Linked DNA regions of Cricetulus griseus. The protein of the gene in region 2 interacts with the protein of the main gene of each other region in a pairwise test. Links are inferred from orthologs where the notes say so. Each region holds a gene or a part of one and is shown on either strand. Other genes may lie near its edges.

Region 1 (7,704 bases), on a different chromosome or scaffold from region 2:
AGTTCCAGGGCATGAACTCAGGTGGTTGGGCTTGGCTAAACATGCCTTTACCTACTGAGCCACCTTGACAGTCTCCAAAATGTGTATTAGCATCCTCATCTTGCCAAAAGGTTTGGACTTAAGAATTACCACACACCAGAGGTGATAGCACACACCTTTAATTCCAGCATACAGAAAGCAAAGACAGGGATCTCTGAGTTCCAGGACAGCCAGGTCCCCACAGAGAAACCCTGTCTCAAAAAACCCAAAAACCCAACCAAACAAAAAGAACTACCACACTTTCTGTACATCTGACAACAAAAGATAGAGACAAAACATACCACCAGGACTGGGGGTAGCTCAGTGTACAACAGATCTTAAACAAATCATGACAAAGAGGACTGGTTGATCCTCAGCCTTTATTGACTAGCCACAGGCCACCTGACACTGGTAGTCTTGCTTTCCTAATGTTTTAGCTTGAACTTTGCCAGATCCAACCTATGTGTCCCACCTTGTTCCTTTGCACAGAACTGTTTGAAGGGTCCCTGCAGTGTAATGACATATGACTGCATGTAGGCTTTGGGAGCTTTCCTCTGTGCTTCCAATTGCTGCCATACACCTAACACTGACATCTGTTCACTTCCATATCTATCTCCTGCACTGATGGTATTACACAATGTTACCAGTTAAGAGAAGCTAGGTCCAAGGGCCTCAAGGACTAAATAGAAACTATTAAACAAAACAAAAAAATCCCAAGAAGACCGGAGAAGGGGCTGGAGAGATGACTCAGAGGTTAAGAGCACTGACTACTCTTCCAGGGGACCTGAGTTCAATTCCCAGCAAACACAGGGTGGCTCATGACTATCTATAATGAAATCTGGTGCCCTCTTCTGGTATGCAGGCAGAACATTGTATACATAATAAATAAATACATTTTTAAAAAAATTTAGAAAAAATAATTTAAAAAATGGGGTTGGAGAGTGGCTCAGAGGTTAAGAGCACTTCCTGTTCTTCCAGAGTTCAACTCTCAGCAACCTCATGGTGGGTCACAAACATCTGTAATGAGACCTGATGCCTTATTCTGGCCTGCAGGCATACATGCAGATAGAAAAGTGCATACATTAAAAAAAAAAAAAAAAAAAGCCTTGGGGGTTCAGTGCTTGCCCTGTATGTACAAGACCCCGTCTTTGATGTCTAGTACTCAACAATAATAAAGTGTACAGCAGAACCCTTTCTCCCCCCATCTGGGAAGTGCAGGCAAGTCACCCTTTGCTACACAGTAGGCTATTATGCATGGACTGTGTACACTGTGGTGGACTGGAGCTGAGGCAGGAGGATTTAGGGTCAGTCTGGGTTCTTTGGGAGTCCTAGTCTCAAAACCCAACCAAATAAACAATAACCCCCAAACAAAAAGTTCTTTTTTGTTCTGTTTTACAGTGCTGGGATTGGAAGCCAAGAACCCAGGCACGCTAGGCAAGTGCTCTACCACTGAAGTACATCCCCGTCGACAACAGGCTACCCCATACAGGCTCCTTACTAGTACTTCTGGTGGTTATAAATATAACACGGACAAATGCTTCAGCTCTTCTCCATGTTCAAGACCAGTCCTTCAGCTGTTCTCCATCTCCAAGATCAGGAAAGCTTTCAATTAGCTTCGGCTAATGAAACAGACGGAGCGAGAAGGTCTTCCCACAAAACCACACCGAGCAGAGTTTACAACCAGCCATCTCATCCGTTGCATCCACTCGTGGCAAACAGTCTGCCTGAACCTGGAGACCTGGGGTTTCATCTGGAAACCTCGGCCTGCACCAGTGAATTGGCCTCGCTCAGCGCCAGTCTATCCTTTTTTTCCTTTTGCAAGACCTGCTCTTCCCACAGCGCCTGGTCCACCTGGTCATCAGTGAGCACAATCGGCTTGTACTTCTCCTCGAACAGCCTCTCGTTGGCCTCGGAATGCAGCTGGTGGGGCCCGACGACACGGAGGTGCGCAGGCAGGTGAAGAAACTCGTCGTCGTTAATGTCGCAATCCTGCATGCGGTTCTCCAGGATCCACCAACGGCCCAGGAACCCCACGTCGAGGACCCGACCGGGGAAGTCGATCCAACGCGGCTGCAGGTAGCGGCAGCGGGCCTGGTAGAGGCTGGCCTGGGCATCGAAGGGCGCCTCGTACACCAGCGAGCAGAGCCCCAGGTTCACGTGGCGCAGCCGCCCGCGGCCTCTCAGCCACAGCAGGCGCTGCAAGAACGCTTCCGAGTGACGGTTACGCGTGGCCGGCGCCAGCAGCAGGAGGGACCCCGACGCGTCGAGCAAGGCCTCTTCGAAGGTGGCCTCGCCAGGGGCCAGGGCGCAGCACGCCGCGGCGCCGCCCAACAGCCCCACGTAGACTGCCGCGCGGCCTGGCCGGGCCCGAGCCGCCGCCGCCGCGTCTCTGCAGGCCTCGGCGTAATCGCGAAGCAGCGCGCGGGTCCAAGTGCCTGAAGGAAAGACGCCAGCGCGGAGGTGACAGCGATCCGGGCACGCGGGCCGCCCCCCACCCCCGCCGCCACCCCCGCCGCCACTACTCACCCAGTCGCGCCCACAGCCCTGGCTTCGCCGCCACCGTCGCGGCAGCATTCGCCTCTCCTCGCGCTTCACTGCGCCCAGCGGACCCGAGCCTCTTGAGAGCGGCGGTGGCCATCCTCTTCCCGCCGTCCGTTGGCCAGCGGAAAAGCATAGCGGCGGAACCAAAGGTGCGGAGTGGCTCCTGCGCACGCGCAAGGTACCGGAAGTAGTTTCTCACTGAAAACCGGAAGCCGGGCTGGCGCCGGATGTTGCCGTTGCATGAAGAGTGGGCTCTGACGGGTACGCTGGCCGCACGCACGCGCACGGAGGATGGGCCACGCCAGCTTAGGTAGCCTTAGGTGAGGAGGGCGGGGTGCACCTGGCCCAGGGCTGGTCTCACTCCAGGTGTTCGGTAGGCTCCAGGCAGGACTGTAGGCGGAAGCATCAATCCTGGGGAGGGCTGAGGGACTGATGCAGTTCTGTCCACACAGCGCAATGCGGTGACGCCTCAAAAGAATCATGGCAGCGGCTGACGCACTGGCCTTCCATGGTGAGTGGGGCCGGGAAGTGGTCAGAGCTCCTACTCCTGTCCTAGGATAAAACTCCAGGCAGCTGGGACCTAGATCCCAGCGTGAACCTGGGGTTCATCCCGTACTCAGTCAATCCCTGCTCCCACTATAAACTCAGAGGCACATCAGAGCCTCCAAGTCTGCCTAGAACCTAACCTGAACCCCATCTTAGTCGAGAAACAGACTTCTCTATGCGTCAAAATTGAAGAAACGCAGTCCTTAGGGAGTGTAGTGAGGCAACCACAGCCCGGGGTGATGGTCAAGAGATTTTCAGAATCCAAACACCTGTGCCCATTTTCTCTGACCGTAGAGTTCGAAGAAGCCACAAATCTTCTGGCAGAGACCCCAGATGCAGCCACCACTAGCCAAAGTGATGCCCTGACCTCACGGGAGCACGTGACTGTGGTCGTGGGATCAGGTATTGGCTATGGAGCCGAAGTGGTGGAGGAAGAGGGCGATAGAGCATCGGTAAGTCCCCTGGGCCCCGCATGCCATGCCTGTCCATAGCTGGGCTGAGAGGCAGCTTCTGAAAGTTTGTGTCTTGTAGCTTCTACAGGAAGAAAAGCCACAGCCAAGATTCTGGACGTTTGACTACTATCAAAGCTTCTTTGATGTGGACACCTCCCAGGTGAGGCCTGGGACATTGGTTGTTTGGGGCTCAGCCACTGTATTTGGATGGACTGTGTGTGTGGTAGGGCCGGAAGGCAAGGTAGATGGGTGGGTGGGTATGGGTCTGAAAGCCAGTGTCTTCTCTCAGCCTCCTGGGTAGGTAGGGCCACAAATGGCACCACTTGGCCTGGATGAAAGCTCCATTAATGAGCTGAAGTTTGGGTCTTGGCCCGAGGCGATGGGGAGTTATGGAAGATTTTAGAGCAGGAGAGGGATGAGTAGAATAAGCAGATACAGATGTGGAACACAGGGCAGCCTCTGCTAATAAACCACATCTACTGAGAGGGCACATCCTGGAGATGTAGGAGGAAGAACATCCAGAATTTATGGACTGTCCTTACTGTGGCTGGGAGGAGAGGCTGCAAGAAGTTGAGAGAGGGGCTGACAATATGGCTCAGAGGTTAAAAGTACTGACTGCTCATCTAGAGAACCTGGGGGTTCAATTTCCAGCACCCACATGGTGGCTCACAACTGTTTGTAACTCCAGCTCCAGGGGACTTGACATGCACGGCAAAACACCAATGCACATTAAAAAAAATTTTAAAAAGAAATGGCATTCCCAAAAGCCTACATTCAGAGTAGTGACTTGTTCAGCAGGAGGTAGGGGTGTCAAGACCACAAGCCATAGAGACACCCAATGAACAGCTTGGAGGGGACAACTGAGCTTGTTTCAGTTAGGATGTAGTGGCAAAATAGTAGAAATCTACAGGGGCTATATCTCTCAGAATGCATGGATTTTCATTCTGGATCCTGGCTTTGCTCTCCAGGTCTTGGACCGGATTAAAGGTTCGCTGCTGCCCCACCCTGGCCACAACTTTGTGAGGTACCATCTTAGAAATCGGCCTGACCTATATGGTAAATGAGGCTATGTGTTTGATTTAACATACAAGGGTCTGTGCCAGGCCCTGAGCAGGGCAGTCAGTCATAAAGAAAATTTGTGTCTAGTTGAGGGAGACACCAGGATGGGAAGCAGGGCTAACACAGAGGATGAGTGGCATCACTGCCTGGTACAGAGAAGTCAGGAAGGCCTTTGAGTAGGGTAGGCAAATGAGTTTTGTTGGCATTGGTGGAGAAAAGCTTAGAAGGGAACCCAGAAAGTTTCTGGGACCCATGGTGGAAATAAAACTGAGTTGCATGGTGGCATAGGTCCCTGGAGTGGAAGGAACAGCTGGGAGCTCATGGGTAGGGGATGAGTACAGTGGTCCCATAACATCGCAAGAAGGGATCCTGGTGTGAAATTTTTAGAAAGATCTCCTCTGGCACTGTCGAAATTAATGGTAGAAGCCAGCTAGAGGAGGCAGGGGCAGACATTACAGTGGAGGCTGTAAGTGCAGAGTGATTGGTTCTAGAGTGGGAAAGGCAAGGGTGGTCTTCTACCCAGTCCACCAAGAGGAACGTCTGGGCAGGTATGAGGAGCAGATCAGGGGTACAGGGGCTGAGGACACACATATGAAGTTCAAAAATAAGCATGCAGTTCAGGGCCTGAAGCAACTTTGGAATGGACAGCTGAAGGTAGCATTCATGAAACCTTAGGTATGGACAAGATCCTGCCCACAGTGGAAAAGCACCAAGACTATTCTACCTATAAAGAACTTTCTTAGATAATGGGTGGTGGTAGAACAGGCCTTTAGTCCCAGCACTTGGGAGGCAGAGGCAAGTGGATCTCAGTGAGTTTGAGGCCAGCCTGATCTACAAAGTGAGTTCCAGTACACCCAGGACTGTTTAAAAAAAAAAAAAAAAAAAAACAAGCCAAGTGCTTGAGGGATTTTGGAAGTTATTTCTAGAAAGACAGGATGAGCCCAGAGGCAGCTCTTATTACCAGCCATCTGGAGAGTCAAATGCAGTCTGGGGTCTTACCACACTTAAAACAGGACATAGCTAACCTTTCCTAGGAGTGATGAACCTGGGACTCCATGTCCCTTTTGCAGGCCCTTTCTGGATCTGTGCTACGTTGGCCTTTGTCCTGGCAGTTACTGGCAACCTCACTTTGGTGCTTGCACAGAGGCGGGACCCCTCCATCCACTACAGCCCCCAGTTCCACAAGGGTAAGCAGAATGGGTGGGCTCAGCTCCTGGCTGCATGGGCCGCAGGGCATGCAGTAACTGCCCATGTTGCATTCCTAGTGACTATAGCTGGCATCACCATCTACTGCTATGCGTGGCTAGTGCCACTGGCACTGTGGGGCTTCCTTCGGTGGCGTCAGGGCACAAGGGAGCACATGGGGCTGTACACCTTCCTGGAGACGGTTTGTGTTTATGGCTACTCACTCTTTGTCTTCATCCCCACCGTGGTGAGTGTGGCTTGGCCCTGGGGACTGGTGGGAAGCTGAATGGCACCCCCTGTATGGTCACCAGTTACACTTGTCACACTAGGTCCTGTGGCTTATCCCAGTGGAGTGGCTGCAGTGGCTCTTTGGAGCACTGGCCCTGGCCCTGTCAGCTGCCGGGCTGGTGTTCACCCTGTGGCCTGTTGTTCGAGAGGATACAAGGCTGGTGGCTGCAGCACTGCTGTCCACTGTGGTGCTGCTTCACGCCCTCTTGGCTCTAGGTTGTAAGGTAGGGTCCTTCCTCAGCAGGGCTGTGGAGTGGGGCTTGCTGCTACCCAGCTGCACATTCACCCTGACATCTCTCTGCAGCTGTACTTCTTCCAGCCATTGCCCCTGGAACATGTGATACCAGCACCCCAAGCCACACTTCTATCTCCCAGTGTCCTGCTGCCCACCTCAGCCCGGTCCATGACAACCTTCTAGGAAAGCCAGGCCTGCAGGTGAGGGGCCAGTTTCTGTTGTGGCTAAGGGTTCACCTTCTTCCTCCTGGGGCCACTGCTAGCAGTCTCTCTTTTCCAGGTCAAACCCCAGGGGCTACGACCTGTCCTGCCCTCCCTGTGAAGATTAGAGGAGTCTTGGACCCTGGAGACCACCCTGCTACTTTGCAGGCTTTTCTTACAAAGCAAACACTTTTATTTTCTATGCAAAGGTGATCCAGAGAATTTATATAAAGGTGGGGGGGGCAGCCGAGCAGGAAATATTACTGATGGACAGAAGAGCCCGGTTTCCCAGCCTGCCTGTGGGCCCTGTTTCCCTTACAGGTCAGGGGGTGGCACAGGGCAGGTCCAGCCATTGCCAGGAGTACCTGTGGTGGGCATGGGCCCAGCCTGGGCTCTGGCCACTGAGGTGGGGACTCTAGGGCAAAGGAGCAGGGGAGAAACTGCCTTTCCTTCCTTGTTTGCTTTTCTTCTTGTTCTGTCTGGAGGGAGAGGTTCCTGCTAGGCCCCTTCTCAGGGGTGCTGTCTTGAGAGGAGGAAGTAGAGCATGAATGTGGAGTGCACACACAGGCCTATGTTAGCTATCAGGGAGAGGATGCCCTCCTTCCTTCTGTGACAGATCCTTGAGGTTTTTGTCTACCCCACTGGCCCTAGGTGACTTTCCCTCTGGGCTGCCTGTTCCAGGTTTTGGTGGAGGGGGACTTTAGGGCTCAGGACAGGACAGTAGCAGGAAGCAGAGGCTAGAGGCCTTTGGACAGCTGGGAGTTTTGTACATTCAAGTGTGAGGTGAACCCTTTGGTGAGAGGGGATTACGTCCGCCCTGAAGGCTTGACAGGGCCACCCCTCACCTAGAACCTCTGGGCCTAGGGACAGGGGCTGCTGGCTGGGCCCGGCCAGCCGGGTTTCTCAGAGGGTCTGTGGGTTGACACTGGTTCTTTTCGTAAAAAAATAAAATTAAAAAAAGCAGCATGTCACGCCCATGGTGACCATGTGGCCTGGTAGTTGAGAGGTCCAGCTGGCTGTGCTGCCACCCTAGGTGAGGGGTAGGTGCAAGGACGGGTTGGGGGATGGGTGCTGCCAGGTCTTATGGTGGCAGCTACTGGCCTCCTCCTGCCTGTTCAGGTGCAGCTGTAAGAGTGGGGTGGGGTGGGAGGGGGCTTGCCTCTTCCAGCAGATGTCAAAG
Region 2 (7,604 bases):
TTTGTTTGTTTGGATAGTTGTTTGTTTTGTTTTGTTTTGTTTTAAGACAGGGTTTCTTTGTGTAGCCTTGGCTGTCCTGGAACTCTCTCTGTAGACCAAGCCAGCCTCAAACTCAGAAGATGGCCTGCCTCTGTCTTCTGAGTACTGGGATTTACAGGCGTGCACTGCTATGGCCCAGCCAAGTAATTTTATGTGTTGAACAGGAGAGTGGCCCAAACCCTGTTGGTTAGTCCTCACAGACAGCAACTCACAGTATTTTGTGATGGCCTTACTTTGTACAATTTCTTTTCAGAGAGAAGACTCCTCCTCGTCCTCAAGGCCAGAGGCCGGAGCCTGAAAATAGAGGGGTGAGGAACATTCTAAAAGAATCTTTTAGAAGTGTGCCTGTGACTTTTAAAACTTTGCTGTTGAACTTGCGGGTTTTTTTTCCTTGTTCTAAACAAGAAGAAAAGTTTTAAAGGAAGATTTGTAAAGTACAGAAAGGAGGCAAGCAGGGTGAAATCCTAGAACCACTCATCCAGAGATAGCCACTGGGAGCATTTGGACCTGTTTCCTCATCTTCTTTTACTGTATATGTGTGTGCATGCATGTGTGTGTGTGTGTGTGTGTTTATTAATTGATATATGTATGTTTGTTGATTGTACATTTATATATTTATTCCTTAGATTTTTTAAATTTAATTTTTACTTTTATTATTGTTGTGTATATATGGTGGGGACATATGTATAGGGATGAGAGGAAAACTTTGGGGAGTTGGTTCCCTCCTTCCATCATGGGCTCTGGAGTTAATTATCAGTCTTCATGGCAAGCCCCTTTACCACCAGATTGTCTTACCAGCCTGATTTCTTGGACTTTTGAGATAGGGTCCCACTATGTAGCCCAGGCTGATCTGGAATGAATGATCTTCCTGCCTCTGTTTCCTAGTACTGTTGTTATGGACATAGGCCACCATGCCTGGCTTACTTATTTTATGTGCAGTTGTTTTGCCTGTGTGTACATCTATGTGAGGGTTCCAGATCCTTGGAACTGGAATTGCAGTCAGTTGTGAGATGTCAAGTGGGTGCTGGGAATTGAACCCAAGTCCTCTGGAAGAGCAGACAGTACTCTTAAACTACTGAGCCATCTCTCTAGCCTCCTGCTTTTTGGGTTTTTGATTGTTTGTTTGTTTTACAATATTTGGCTCTTATTTTCTAATTTTAAAATTTTTATCTATTCTACAGATACTAGGTACCTTAATGTGCTCTGGTCACTATTTTGGCAGTGATAATTTATCAGTGAACCTAGCAAATGGTCTCTGCCCTCATGGAATGTCCTCATGAGAATTGGAATTTCAACAGTGCAGTTTAAAATGTTACTGAAATGTCACTGAAATGTCACGAAATTTAACAGCTGATGCTCAGTTGTGTAGACCTAATGTAATGGCATCTACTATATTATGGGACACTTACCTACTACCCTGCTGTCTTAAACATACTCGGATGAAATTACAAAGTTTTGTGTAGAACCACAATTATTTTATTATGATAAATTCTTAGAATTAGTGGCTCAAAATATGTATGCATTTAAATGAAATATTAGTCTTTTTTTTTTCCAAATAGCAGTTTCTGTTAAAGTATTAATGGGGACTGGAATGTAGCTCATTGCCAGGATCATAGTAGCAGTTAGGCAGGCATAGTGCTGGAGCAGCACCTTTGAGCTTAACATCCTTATCTATAAGCAGGAAGCAGAGAGAACCGACTGGAAATGCCTCGAGGCTTTTGAAACCTCAAAGCCCACCCCAGTGACACATCTCTTCCAACAAGGCCACACCTCTAATCCTTGACAAACAATTCCACCAACTGAGGATCAAACCGTTCAAATATGAGCCTATGGGGTCATTCTCATTCAAACCACTGCAGCTACTTAGTGAGTTCAGGGCCAGTCTAGGAATATGAAACTGTGTCAGAAAATCAATTAAAAATTTTAAAATGTACATTAAATGAAAATTTAAAGGGAACTTGTATGCCTGAACTGTTAGAATCCTAGAAACAAGTATATACTAATTTCTGCAGTTCTCATCATTTGTAACCATATATTCTTTTTGATTTTATTATAAATTATGTATATGTTTGTAGTGGGTATATACACTAGAGGCATCATATTCCACTGAAGCTAGAGTTGAAGGCAATTTTGAGCTACCCAACATGGGTGCTGGGAACTGAACTCAGGTCCTCTACAAGAACAATTTGTCATCTTAGTCATGGAGCCATGTCTCCTGCCTATATATTCTTATTTTTATGTCACTCCCACTATTCTGTTACTATTCTGGTTTCAAATTTAATTTTGACAGTATATTTCATGATATTCTAAACAAAGTATCTTCTAATGTCATTGTGTTTCCTTTTTAATATGTTGTTTTAGAGAGATGTTTGTTCATATTCTAGTCTTTTTTAATTATTTTGTATCATTTATTTATGTATATGTAAGATTATTCCCTGTGGAAACCAGAAAAGGACATAGGACCTCTGGATTCCCCTGCCTGCACTTCTCCAGCGCTAGGGATCGAACCCAGAGCTTTGTGCATGCTAGACAGCTCTACTCAACCCAGCTGCACCTCCAGCCTTCTTGGTTCCCTTTAGTGAAGGCTGCCATGTTATCTGAGAGAGAGAGACAGAGAGAGAGAGAGACAGAGAGAGACAGAGAGAATGAGAATGAGATTATGTCTATATAGGGGTGTGGAGGAATGCTCTGGGTATTAAATTCAAGGTGTTAAGTGTGCTAGGTAACATTGTACCACTGAGCTATATCACTATCCTTCCATTGAATTTTGATTTGGTATAATTTCAGTTCATCATTGAAGGGTCTTAGAGTTACTGACAGACTTTGCTATGTAAGTAACACCATGATAATCTTTGTACGCATCATTTTTTCACTTGAATTTGTGCATTTGAGGGGGGTTGGATTTTTGAGACAGGGTTTCTCTGTGTGGCCTGGCTGTCTTGAAACTCACTCTGTAAACCAGGCTAACCTTGAACTCAAACATCACCTGCCTCTGCCTTCCAAGTGCTGAGATTAAAGGCATGTACTACTACTACCCAGCTGAATTGGTGCATTTCTTTAGGAGTCCCAGTATGATAAGGTCAAGGATCTGATGAAAGTTGAGGTTCTTTTCTCCTATATTAAGAGTTTTGCTGGGTGGTGGTAGTGTGTACCTCTGAGTTTGAGACCATCCTGGTCTACATAATGAGATCCAGGACAGCCAGGACCGCACAGAGAAACCCTGTCTCATGACCTCATTTAAGCCTCATAAACACATGGAAAGGTGATAACTGAGGTCAGATATATGTGGTGTGCCTGTCTAGGTGCACACACAGAGCCAAAACCCAACCTGGGTGCTACCCAAGTCTCTGCTCTTGACTGCTAGACAGCAGCCCTTTACCTTCTCAGGCTCTGCTTGCTCAAGCATCATCATCAACCAATACAAGTCAGAGACCCCAGGAAGCCCGAGGCTTTAGCCCTGATGGCTGAGGACAGACCTAGGGTTATAAGCACCTGCAGCTGCTAGTAGTCTAGTATATCTGTCTTTTTTATTTTTGTTCTCTTAAGGTTTCACTGTGGAGCCCTGTCTTTGTTAGCTAGAGCTCAATATGTAGTCCAGGCTGACCTTGAACTCCCAGAGATCCAGCTGCCTCTGCCTCCCAAGTGCTGGGATTAGTGCATGCCACCATTCCAGTACCCTAACACCCCTGTCTTTCTATTATTTCATCATTTGTTCTAAAGAGCTCACCAGAAGTAAAAAGGAAGGAAAAGAGTTTGTAAGTTGTGCACTTGATTAAGTTGGCTGTATGTAAAGGCTCTTTGTCATGCAAGCCCAGTGACCTTTGTTCAATCCCCAGAACTCACATAGATGAAGAGGGTACTGACTCCACAAAGTTGTCCTTTGACCTCATGTGCACCGTGAAACATGTGCAATACACATAGGCACACTATATACAATTAAAACACATCTTTTTGAGTTTGGATTTTCAGATCAGATCGGGTTTAGTCTTCTGTAAAATGCTAATGCAAGAATTAAACATAAGCTGACACCCTAGGAGGTACTCATCTGTGATTCCAGCACTCAGGATGCTGAGGCAGGAGCATTGCAAATGTGAGGCCAGCCTACGCCACCTGTGAGATCCTGTCAGAGTTGGGATAAGGGAAAGGAAAGGCTGGATTTGAGTATCCTGTGCCAGGAGACTTTGCACTCAGACAGAGGTGTTGTTTATTAACAGCTGTTGTTTTGAGGAGTCCATCCTTGGAAAAGATCTCGTGTGGTGAATATGTTTGGGGGAAGAAACCAAGGCTGCTGTACAAACTGCTGACAGTGGCTGTTTAGGAAGATCTCTGACTTTAATTATCCAACTACCACCACTTAGCTTAAAATAATCTTTTGTTGTTGTTGTTGTTTTGTTTTTTTTGTTTTTTTTCTAGACAGGGTTTCTCTGTATTGCTTTGGAGGTTTGGAACTCACTCTATAGACCAGGCTGGCTCGAGCTCACAGAGATCCACCTGCCTCTTGCTTCTCGAGTGCTGGGATTAAAGGCATGTGCCACCAATGCCCTGCTTAAGATAATTTTTTTATGGCAAGGTCCTGTTGTGTATCCTGGGTTGGCTTTGAACTCAATATGTAGCTGAGGATGACCTGGAACTTCTGATCATCCTATGTTTACTTTGTGAGTGCTGTGATGATAGGTGTGTGCCACCATGCCTGACTTATGCTGTGCTTTATATTAAATCCAGGGCTATACCCAACAGCATCTGAAGGTTTTAAGGGAAATGCTTACCCATATCTTGACAAACATACTCATATTGTTATGTATGGGTGTTTAAGAAGTTTGACCGTTAAAATCACAAGGTTTACTATCTTGTTGCATAAATGAGCACCAGGGTCCTTGGAGAACATTTTACAAGATTTTGTTTGACTGATATTATTGACCAGAGTTCCATCTTTTTTGTTATTGCCTATAGTATATAGTTTGTAATATTCCTTTGCATTTGGGTATGACACTAATTGCCAAGGGTATTATATAAATAGCATGTTGGAAATTTTCCTGGCTAATGTGGAACCCTGGAAAATGATCTAAACATACTGATAAAAGTGTGTTTCACTTCTCGTCAGAGTGGGCTCTTTTTGCACCATATAGCTCCTTAGATTGGAGCTAAGGCTAGAAGGTCAGAGGTGCCTTTAGTGTTCCTTCACTCTGGGGCCTAGATGGGAGGAAGAGCTGAGGCCCTAGTTTGTGGAAAAGGGACAAGAAGAAATGTATGTGTCATATGCGCTATGATGTAAGACATAGTTTGAGAAATGTGAAATAAATCTGCTTATTTTTCTTAATTGCTTTTCTTCTCCACAGGGATTTCAAGGATTTGGATTTGGAGACGGTGGCTTTCAGATGTCTTTTGGAATCGGAGCATTTCCATTTGGGATATTTGCCACAGCATTTAACATAAACGATGGACGGCCTCCTCCAGGTAAGCCCCATTTCTCACAAACATAAATAATCCTGCTTGAAAACTCCTTGGAATTCAGCAGTATAGAAGTTACAGATAATTGTCAGTACATGGGTATCAGGCTTTGCAAACTCCCTTAATTCTTTGCAGATTACCACACTCATCCAGCAATTCTGAGCACATGCCATGTGCTAGGTATATGTGGGATGCTTTATGTTATATTACATACTGAGGGGCTCATCATCTGCACTCCAAATACCTATGCAGTTAGCTGCTTTATAGGTAAAATTCTCAGTAATGATTCCAAGACATAGCCCATGACCATTAGACTTAAGAATTATTAGCCAGCGTTGGTGGCACACGCCTTTAATCCCAGCACTGGGGAGGCAGAGGCAGGTGGATCTTTGTGAGTTCGAGACCAGCCTGGTGTACAAGAGCTAGTTGCAGGATAGACTCCAAAGCCACAGAGAAACCCTGTCTCGAAAAACCAAAAAAAAAAAAAAAAAAAAAAAAAAAGAATTATAGACAATACCTAGCTAATGAAAAGCTTAATTCTCTCTCTCTCTCTCCCTATCTCCCTCTCTCTCTATCTCTCTCTGTCTCTCTCTCTCTGTCTCTCTCTCTCTGTCTCTCTCTCTCTGTCTCTCTCTCTCTGTCTCTCTCTCTCTCTCTCTCTCTCTCTCTCTCTCTGTCTTTGATCATTTGAGGCCAGGGAGAAATGAAATGTTAGGGTTTCCTGTTCCCTGGCATCTCTGCCCAGCTTCTCTCAGGACACAAAACGGGGCTGATACCAAACTTGAAAGCTTTGTGAACTGTGTTCATATCTATTACCTGCTGCTGCATTTCTCCCTTCAGCTACTTGTCTATAACAGCTGCATTCAGAGTACAGCAAGGCAGCAAGGTGTATGCTAGACTGACACTCTGACACCTGAGCCACCATTCATGTCATGGAGCCTATAAAAGATGATATGGTTAGTTGAGCCCTTCTTACAGTCATTGGAGCCTTCTGGGACTTGAGTACAGTATGAGGAACAGAAGTGACCAGTGTAGCTCTGGTCAGGAACTTGTGCTCTGAATATGATCACCCACTCAGAAATCATCAAAGCTGTTCCCTGCTTCACCTGATTCCTTGAACATAGGCAATAAACCTCTTGGTTGCCTGCCTGCATGAGTTTATCAGAGCAACCAACTTTGAGGTAATGACATGCAACCCCACAAAATACTGGGCACTACTCCATCTTATCTGCCTGGAATGTTTCTCTGCTGTTCACACATTGTTTTCTCAGAGAAAGGGAACCCCAAAGGGCAGGATGTAATTTGCCATAAAGGAAAGACAGATCCCTGTAGCGGCAACAGGAACTTCTGACTAGCTTGATGCTTTCTAGCCTGGTCCAGCATTCAGACTGGCTCTCCCCCAGTTCATTCCCAGCCAGGCTGGGCTCTGGATCATTTTTTGTTGTCACAGTTTGGTATAGTTTGCACTGCCTGGATGTAGATCCTGTCACTTTGCTTCCTCTATAGTCTGAGCAGAGAACTCTTAACTAGAAGAGGTTCTCACTCAGTCTCCTTCTACCTTACCATATGATTTCTAGGCCCTGGTTCTCTTCTGGAAAAAACATGCACACAGACAGACAGAGAGCCATCTGGAATAGTGTACAGAGAGGCAGGAGAGTGCCACTGCTCATGTGTGAGCCCTTATGGTCTCAGAAGGCCCATGCTTTGCTTCTGCTACTGCTTTTTAAATGAGACCTACCAAGTATTACCATGCATGTGGCAGCATAGGGAAGACAGGTAAGAGGGTGTCTGTTCCCTGCGGGGAGTCCCTGATAGTCTACTGGCTCACTTGCATGTACAGGACAGCTCTTTTGAGATCACTGGAGAGCAAGGTCTTATTGTAGTAGTTCACTTATTTTTGTTTTGGTTCAAGCTTGGGAGTCTTTTTATTACAGGATTCTGTTATTAAAAGGAAACAAAGATTCATCCTCTCCAGTTCTGGCCCCAATGGGCAGTATGCACACAGACTTCTGACAAAGTCTCTTCCTCTTGTCTCTCTAGCTGTCCCTGGGACACCCCAGTACGTGGATGAGCAGTTCCTGTCTCGCCTCTTCCTGTTTGTAGCCCTGGTGATCATG

The links.
Region 1: the proteins of Rnf185 (region 2) and Yipf2 interact in binary tests that used the Homo sapiens proteins (3 or more experiments, as listed by UniProt). The two-hybrid records come from large-scale screens. The link is inferred for Cricetulus griseus from reciprocal best matches to the Homo sapiens genes RNF185 and YIPF2.

Annotation. Positions count from the first base shown.
Region 1 is NC_048597.1:134,467,154-134,474,857, reverse strand, and holds Yipf2 (protein YIPF2), read left to right. Parts: upstream 1-2,729; 5' UTR 2,730-2,820; exon of another isoform or gene 2,821-3,011; 5' UTR 3,012-3,039; coding exon 3,040-3,070; intron 3,071-3,399; coding exon 3,400-3,557; intron 3,558-3,636; coding exon 3,637-3,717; intron 3,718-4,525; coding exon 4,526-4,613; intron 4,614-5,686; coding exon 5,687-5,803; intron 5,804-5,881; coding exon 5,882-6,048; intron 6,049-6,130; coding exon 6,131-6,313; intron 6,314-6,393; coding exon 6,394-6,507; 3' UTR 6,508-6,524; exon of another isoform or gene 6,525-6,526; intron 6,527-6,603; 3' UTR 6,604-7,487; downstream 7,488-7,704. Other genes in the region: Timm29 (mitochondrial import inner membrane translocase subunit Tim29), read right to left, coding at 1,765-2,453, 2,545-2,692.
Region 2 is NW_023276807.1:101,475,110-101,482,713, forward strand, and holds part of Rnf185 (E3 ubiquitin-protein ligase RNF185), read left to right. Parts: intron 1-292; coding exon 293-347; intron 348-5,375; coding exon 5,376-5,493; intron 5,494-7,527; coding exon 7,528-7,604. UniProt on the Homo sapiens protein: E3 ubiquitin-protein ligase that regulates selective mitochondrial autophagy by mediating 'Lys-63'-linked polyubiquitination of BNIP1.